2 linked regions of the Mus musculus genome follow. The protein of the gene in region 1 interacts with the protein of each later gene in a biochemical or structural test. Links are inferred from orthologs where the notes say so. Each region holds a gene or a part of one and is shown on either strand. Other genes may lie near its edges.

Region 1 (4,379 bases):
GATGCATAGCAGCGCTGTGCCAGGTGGGGAGTACAGAGGCTTAAAAGACACAGGTGGCCTCTTCATGGCTCCTGAGATTGGGAGGGGGTGGTGGCAGCTGAGCCTGGGATCGCTGAACAAACAGATAGCACTGCATAATTGTGGGAGGATTTTTAGTGGCATCCTAATAACACCTTTCTAGGCAATGGTGCCTATTTCATTGAACACCTCCTAAGCGCTACACAGAACAATCCACTGCTCCGTTCTGCATGGTAAGGGTTTTCTCTATAGACAGGAGGAGAAGCTTTCAGGCGGTGAAGACTGCCGTTTATAATACCCAGGCCTGGATTTGTATAGACATTGATCTCTGTGGATTGGGAATTATAAACGCCAAGGAAAAGCTGAATCCAAGAACCCCAACACTTGCTGAAAATACTATCTAGAAACGCCTTGGGTCTACTCTGGTCTCTGGTGCTGAGGGACACTCCATGAGGGCTGCAGGTGACGTAGCTGCTCTTCCAAGAGAGCAGCTCTTAATGCTTTGCTGGGCAAATCTAGAGCCTAGCCATGCTCCAACGTATCCTCACCTCCCTCAAAGCAAAAGATTTCCAATTACTGTTCTGCAGAAAATGTCAAAAGCATTATTCACCAACTCATGATCCCGAGGTTTGTAATTTTTCCTATGTTTTTACCCTTATCTGCCAGCACTTGAAAAAGACCAGCTTTTTCCTCTCAAGAGAGCTTAATTTGCAGAGCCGTGCGGTCTCCCTATTATGTTCTTATCGTCCTCTCCCTGTGGTAGGCAGAATGACAAGGATGACAAAAAAAAAAAAAAAAAAAAAAAGGGAACCAAAAATATTTGAAGACTTCCTGAAAATCTGTGGGATGAAGCATCCAAAAAGCTAGAGGCTCCCGTTTTCCCAGTGACCTGGAATAAAACGAAGGGCAGTTGGCCTTAGCTCTTGAGGTTCACTCAGAAGGAGGTTCACAACGTCCAAATCCTCCATCCTGGGGCCCATGGAATTTCCTCTAGCGGCTTAATTGAAGGATTAACAGCTCTGAGGTTCTTAAGACGCAAAGAGGTTCTCTCTCCCGAGGAATGCTCATACCAAGACTATATTAAGTATCCTAAGGACCAGAGGCCAGTGGATGGATGGTTGGCTTTTCTCCGGTCTCCCTGGGCCTCCCCACCCAATCTCTGATAAGGCAATTGACATTTTTCTCCGCTATGTGCTATGTTAAGTGCTATGCAAAAGGAAATTAAACCTCCTAGCTCTAGTTCTTCCACCTAGATGGCGCCCCAAGCCCTGCCTACATGGCGTTTCTGAGCCGCAGTCTCCCTGGATCGGTTCCTCCCAGGATCCCCAGGAAGCCGGCGCACTAGGACTGCTGTTTCCCTGGGAGAGCGGTCCTCCCCGCTCAGGGGCTTGCTCGGGGGAATCCCCGCCCACCTTGTCATTCCTGCAGGGGAATCCCCGCCCCCTGGGCCTGTCACTCCGGGAAGGTAGTTCCCGCCCCTCGGATCCAGCAGAGGGAAGGAATCCCCGCCCATTCTGGAGGCTCGGAGCATCCCTGCGCTGCGCAGCGAGAAGCTCACTCCCAGCGCCAGTGCGTACTAGCGGCGGGCAGTGGGACGCGGCGGGGCGGCTGCGGCGGGCGCCCTCCAAGCGCCCCACCGATCGCAAGACGCTCGGGATCGCGCCTCCGGCGGCAACCAGCAAACCCCTGCGGCGCGGCTTCTCCCGGCAGGCGCGGCAACAGCACCGGTGGTGGTGGTGGCAGGGGCGGCGGTAGCTGCGCCGGCACCGCCGGGCGGCGCCTGAGTCTGGACGCTCCAGGAGCGGCTCGAGCCTCCGCCGATCCGCGAACAGGTGAAGAGACCTGGCGCCGCAGCCGCGACGGGGGTGGGGCTTCGGGTGGGCTAGCGGGGTAGCTGAGCTCGATAACCCCAAGACGGTGTGCGCTGGAGAAAGTTCAGTGACAATCGGGTGTGGGGATCCCAGTTCAAGCAAAGAGGCGAGTGAGGGCACCCAAGTGGGTCCCCGCGTTAGGTGGCGCAAACTCCTCTTCCTTCTAGTGGGAGGTAAGAGGGGCACAGTGGAGGAGAGAGGTTGGGCGGAGCGAGATGGAGACAGCGGGATAACCGGAGGCGCCTTGCCTGGGACGCCTAAATCGGGCCAAGAATCCTTATCCCAGTGTGTTGGTTTGTCTCTCTACCTTAGCCAGTTACTGTTTTAAGGACCATCCTCCCGCGCTTCATCTCTCGCTAACCCCCCTGCCCACTAAGTGGCGCGAGAAAGAGTCCGCATGAAGAGCAAGGGCATCTTTGGGGGTTTAATGTCATCTGCCAGGGAGATAAGGGATGTTCCAGTAGGAAAGTATTTCTTCCTGAAGTCCCCCCCCCCAAAAAAAAAACCACCTGCCCGCCTTTCCCAATGAAGCACAAGACTGAATTGTGGTGGGGGGAGCATCTAGGACCCTGGACAGAAGTTTACCAGCGGCCCTTCAGCAGCCCTGCTCTCTGCATAGCTCTTGATAAGGGACCCTGGAGTCACACCAGGTCTGGCATGTGCTGGTGGCAAACACTGGAAAGTCGGACACTGGGGCATTCCAGAGTCCAGGCATATACTGGAGATTTGGGCATTGTGGAGGCCTGAGCTGGGGCTTGCCTCTTCCATGGGTTTTGCTTGACAAGTCACAATGAAGCTCCTGAAGGTTAAGTGGTTGTGGAGTGACCAAAGAAAGTGAGTTTCTCTTGCAGACACACCCCTGAATCTTCACAGCACTTCTCTTGGGGGGGGGGGGGGGGAGGAACCTCCCACATTCATCTCTGCTCCAGGCTTGGGCGATAGGGTCTCGACTGTTTCTACTGGGTCAGCTTTTTCTGGCCCGTGCCTTCTGGGTGGGAGCCAGGTAGGTACACGCTGGCAGGTGTGGTGTGGGAGGACTGCTTGTGAGGGCGGAATAAAATCTCTCAGAGCACACCCCTGGCTGTGGGTGGTTGTTCTAGCTCCATGAATTTCTTCTTCTATTTGGATGAGCCAGGAACTGCTGCTACTATAAAAGCTACACCGTGGTGTGAGCTTGTGTGGTGTGTTACCGGGTAGGAGTAGCAGGGCTGGTAGGTGTTGGGAAAAAAATCAGAACCATGTGAGGTATATAAATGCATCCCCTTGGCATAGTTAATAACCGCCTAGAAAAAGAAAAAGGATATTGAATGGCGCTTTACATCTATCATTGAAATTGATTTTGGATGCACTTACGGCAGTTTACTATTTAAGGAAACGTATGATAATTCCTCTATTCATTTCAATCATTTGGAGCACCTGTGGTTTGCTGGGTCTAGGGCTTCCAAGGGAAGTGCACAGAGTAAAGAGACTCTGTCCCTGCTGGCAAGCGTTTCAGTGTAGCAGGAGAGATGTCTCTTTATAGCGATGATACAAGCTAGAGCCCTCTGGCTTTAGAGTAAATTCTCTATGCTTAGTGGGTGAAGGAATGAAGGTATGATTAAATTGCTAAATTTAAGTAAGTTCCAAATAAAACATCTTAGGGGTATGGAGGAGAACAAAGCCCCCTTTTCACTGTGGGGATTGTGGAGCTTTGCGGGGGTCCACCTAGAGGAGGAAGTGTATGCAGAAAGGTTGATCCTGTCTTTGGATTCTTTCATGGCACCAGAGACTGAGCTTTGACCCACATGAATCTGGTTTTCCAGACAGTTGGGAAATAGTTGGGATTTTTGAACAAGGGTCTATCACAATCAGGTATTTGCTTCCGGGAAATTCTTGTGGAAAGAACTGAGACAGGGAGAGGAGAGACGTCGAGTCTAATGAGGAGATTCTTGCAGCGCGATGGTCGAGGAGGCAGTGAAGGTCTAAGCTAGTGGATGGCAGCTTGTGAGGAAGACAGAAAAGAGTCATCAACTGTGGGGCAGGGGTGGGATTCAGAGAGCAGAGACAAAGCCCACCTGCAGGCTCTGAGCACAAGTAGTTGAGCCAAGTTAGGGAGTTTGGGGTTTTAACATCTGACAAAGCAGCAATCTGGAGAAGTCCTTTCAGACTCTCTCTCTCTCTCTCTCTCTCTCTCTCTCTCTGTGTGTGTGTGTACATGTTGGTGAGTGTGAGTGAGTATGTGACGTGCCTCAGGTGTAGCAGTGAGAGGAGCATTCTGTGGAGTCAGTTTTCTCCTTTCATCACAGGTTCCAGGGGCTAAACTCAGGTGGACGGGCTTGCATAGCGAGAACCCTTACCAACTGAGCCACTGAGCCCAGCCTTCCTTTTCTCACTACTACTTGTAAAACTTGTCAAGGCTCTGGGGATGTATGGGGTAAGCTTCAAACTGCTGAGATTTCTCTCTTGCCACATTATTCAGCACACATACACGAGAGAGAGAGAGAGAGAGAG
Region 2 (4,128 bases), about 17 Mb from region 1:
GACAAACAATGCAAACATTAATGACATCTATGGTGATTTGGTTTTACAAGTGCACACACACACACACACACACACACACACAGTTAAATAACCCCTTTGCACAAGACTAGGACAATTTCATTAGAGCACCAACCTCATGCACTTGCTAAAACTGCCATTCAGTCAGGTACTATCATTTTCAACCCACAATATAGCATAAAAGTCTCATGCAGAAGCCATGGAGTTTTTCTCACGCCCAGCAGCTGCTCTCTGGAGGCACACACAGGCACACAGTGTTGTCAACTCGTCTGTAAGAATCATGGTTAAAACTGAAACACTAGACTCAAGGAAAGGAAAGGAAAGGAAAGGAAAGGAAAGGAAAGGAAAGGAAAGGAAAGGAAAGGAAAGGAAAGGAAAGGAAAGGAAAGGGGAAAGTACACCTCCTTCATCTAAGGCATGCTTCTGAAAGAAATTTTACATTGATATAATGCAAGGGCTCCAAGAGTGTGCTCAAAGCGCTCCTGTAAAGTTGCCTGAATGTGAATAAAGGTGAAACTACAGCAGTGTTGGCAAAGGAATCGCAGCGTTCCCTTAAGCCAAGCAGAGTAGCCTCCGGCGGTGCTTTTCCCACGCTCGCTTGTTATTAGTAAAATTACAGTCCTTCTATATTCCAACAACTAATTCCAAGCATAGCCCATCTTCATTCAAGCTTTGGACCTTGTAACCCACAGACCAGTACGGATACTATTCAACATTAACAATGGATTCTGCTTGGCACAGAGAATCACTAAAGGAAGAGGCATCTGGCTGTTGAAAGCAGCTATTCCATACACGAGGATTCTTGCCTCTATTGGCCATACCTCCCATATATCAGATCCCCCAAATCATGCACTGTTCTACGTTGGCAATCCAAAAGGAGTCATATCAAACAATCTTCCACTGGATTTTAGTAGCGGGGCTGGGGAGCCTTCCAATTATGTTGATACATGCTCACCAGCGGGCACATCAACTGAACTACCACCAGTGGAAGTGTGCAAAATGAGGTAACTCATGGGCAGGGGCAACACCTCCCCATTTTCATGGAAGTCAATGCAGAAAATTCTCGGCGTCTTAAATATCAGTCACACAGTTCCTAAAAGTGAACTGTCCGTCATGCTTATCGGGCCTGATTTTTGCTCATTACATATCTCTTTTCTAAGCCAACATATCTCTTAGAGAACATTAGGCATGCATACGTATACAGCCTTGCAGAGTTGAAGCACAGCAGATCAGTTCAAATGAGGGAAATACAAACCCCTTGCAAGCACAGCCTCCCCCTCTATTATCCTCTTCTTCCACACCCTTCATTACCCCGGTGTTTACAGTGAAAACGCAACTTTGGGTATTTGAGAAATAAGTGGCTCCTTGTGGAAAATACAGAGATGCACATCCCTCTAAGCCCCCAAGTCTGTTTTCCGACCCCCACCCTCCGACCGAGGAGGTTGCACCTCCTTCCTAGAGACTTTACTCTGAACAGAGTGGCTCAACATGCTGAGTATCAATCGATGAAAACACATTACACACAAGAAGAAGAGGAAGGGGGGAGCGAAACGCAGCTTTGCTTTCAGCCATTAATTACGAATCACCCAAATATCGCTACGCCTATCTCCCATGCACAAGCACCCTTGCCAAACCTGGCTGTCAGGCAGCGCTTTCCAGAGCCTCGCTATCTATTGTCAGGACAGAGAAGCCCCCGGAAGCCTGTGAATCCCTCTGAAAATGCTTCCTCGGAAACGCTAAATATAGACCAAAGGGGTCTGGGTCTGGCGAGCAGCGGGAGACTGAAGAAACGGCCATGGACGCATATGACTAAGTCTTTCCATTTTGTTCTAGCCAAACATCGTAATGACATTGAACATAAGGGCAAAAGACTGGAAGGAAGTCTTCCCCGCCCCCACCCCGTCTTCTCCGGTATATTAGGGACGTCATGAATGCAACCGGGTTGCTCTGGAGGGTGGCGGGGAGCAGTCGGTGTTGCCCTATATACGCGTCCTCCGAGGTAGAGGGGTGGCAGGGAGGGGAGCACGCGGAGAAGCCACTTGGTAACCGCTCCAAGAAAGACACTGACCCCGGACCCCGTTGCGGGGAGAGCCGCCTTCCAAGAGGGGAGCCGGTAGGATCGCGGTCCTCCCCCGGGGCAGACAGCACCCCACTGCCGCCCGCCGCCACCCCTAGCCCCGCTGGAAGCGGAGGACCAACCCCCACCGGCGGTGAGCAAGAGGACGACGCCCGGAGGATGCGCCCGGCTCCAGCAGCTCAGCTAAGGCAACTCACCGAACGGCGCGGCGCCCGACTGCTTCCTGGCGAACATGCACCCGCCGCCAAAGACAGCTCCTCAGTCGGGGGAAAGGCGTGCGCGCCGCCGCCCGGCTTCAGAGCAAGGTCCTGACCTTGCCCAGCTGCAGCATCCTCCGCTTTTGTTGTCGGAGCGCGGCCGCGGGACAAGTGATGCTGGCGGGGAGCAGGGGCGAGCGCGGCAGGCGAGAGGCGGCTCCCGACGCGAGTGCGCAGCGCCCGGCCCGGCCGCCCCTCCGAGCGCGGCGAGCGTAGCGCCCCCTGCCCGACTCGGCGGGCGCCGCGGGATGCTCAGGGTTCCGCGGGGCTCCCCGGGCTCGGGCCGGGCTACCGAGCCGCCGCGCCCGCCGCTCCGCTCGGCCGGTTGCCGCCGCGGGCGCGAGCCTGGGCCGCCCTGGCGCCCGGCGCCGAGCGCTCTCGAGCTGCGCCCTGCGCGCCGCCCGCGCCACCTGTGTCGCCGCCGCCGCCGCCGCCGCCGAGAGCGAGGCTCCTCCCGCCGCGCGCCGCAGCTCAGCCTCCGGCTCAGCCGCGGCGGCCGGCTCCGGCGCTTGGCTAGTGAGCGAGCGAGCGTCCGCCCCACCACCGAAACCTGCCCCGGGTGCGGAGCATGCCCAGTGCCGCCGAGAGAGCGCGGCGCCTCGCCACGCGAATTCCACTTCTGGTTTTCGCGGCGGCAGCAACAGCAGCAGAGATGGGAGGAGGCGGCTCAGGTTGGGAGAGGGCCGCGCATCCCCGGGAACAGACAGCACCCGAGATAGAGCCTACGCGGAGAGTTGATTCTGCGGGGCAGATGTTGGTCTGCAAAGGGGCAGCGATTGAGGGGTTTTAGAGTAGCTTGTGAGTTAAGGAGAGCACCGGGCCAGCCATGAAAGCTAGTGGATGGGGGTGGATGTTCTTGTAGATTCTAGGGTTCCAAAGCAAAGAACGCATGACGTCTGTGAAAGGTTCTTTCGTAGTGTTGGGGCCCCATCTCCACCACCTCCTGCTCTGATTATGCTTTATGCAAACTCAGTCTGGTTTTAAAATCTGGAATATGAGTAAACTTCCTACAAGGAAGACCCTTGCTGGATCTAGAGCTTTAATGAATTCTCTTCGTCTTCCTGTCACGTCTCACCCAGTTGTCTTCTTGGACACCTCCACGACTGTTTTCCTCTTCTCTTCCATTGTCCCGTGCTAAAATGAAAACTTTGCTCCTCCTCCACTGACCGCGGTGGAGTCTGTGAAGCTTGCTCCATTTCCAACTGAGATTTCCGAATGTCTCTCAGTTAGTCAGTCATTAGGCAACACAGAGTGCTAAATCTAGCAAGCAAAGTCACACTATGAAAAGTCTTGTTGGAAAACGAAACCCATGCCAAGTTCCAAGGCAGGCAGGCCCTCAGGACCTTCATCTATGTCCCTGTGTGGCTGCAAAGTCTGTCAGTCACATGCAGGACAAATACGTCCCATAATTATTCCACCAAAGATCCTTACTTTGAAGCCAGCCCACCCCACCCTACTCTTTCCCAGAGCCATTTTCTGAGACACAGATAAATGGACCAGGAACCCCGAACTTGTAATAAGAGGGGTTCCAGCTTCAGTAATCTCAGGGACATTTCTATTCAGTTTGCAAGAGATTATCCAACAAGGTCAAAATGCTTGCATTAAATCTGAGATAGCCTCTATTATTCTCTGGAGTTAGTGAAAGGCTGAGGCAAGTGGAAAGAAAAGTTAAGCAGACTAAATATGTAAAGGAACAGACAAGAGATTGAGTAATGACTGTTCACAACAGGGAAATGTGCACCGTCAGTCATTCCATCTACCTCTAGTAGGCTCAGT

Evidence for each region. The genes of interacting proteins can lie anywhere in the genome.
Region 2: the proteins of Pdzd2 (region 1) and Ctnnd2 form a complex in vitro, tested with the Homo sapiens proteins (2 studies listed by BioGRID and IntAct, with this or other methods). The link is inferred for Mus musculus from reciprocal best matches to the Homo sapiens genes PDZD2 and CTNND2.

The regions. Positions count from the first base shown.
Region 1 is NC_000081.6:12,737,088-12,741,466, reverse strand, and holds the start of Pdzd2 (PDZ domain-containing protein 2), read left to right. Parts: upstream 1-1,574; 5' UTR 1,575-1,850; intron 1,851-4,379.
Region 2 is NC_000081.6:30,171,328-30,175,455, reverse strand, and holds the start of Ctnnd2 (catenin delta-2), read right to left. Parts: upstream 2,923-4,128; 5' UTR 2,330-2,922; coding exon 2,293-2,329; intron 2,287-2,292; exon of another isoform or gene 1,653-2,286; intron 1-1,652. UniProt on the Homo sapiens protein: Has a critical role in neuronal development, particularly in the formation and/or maintenance of dendritic spines and synapses. Involved in the regulation of Wnt signaling.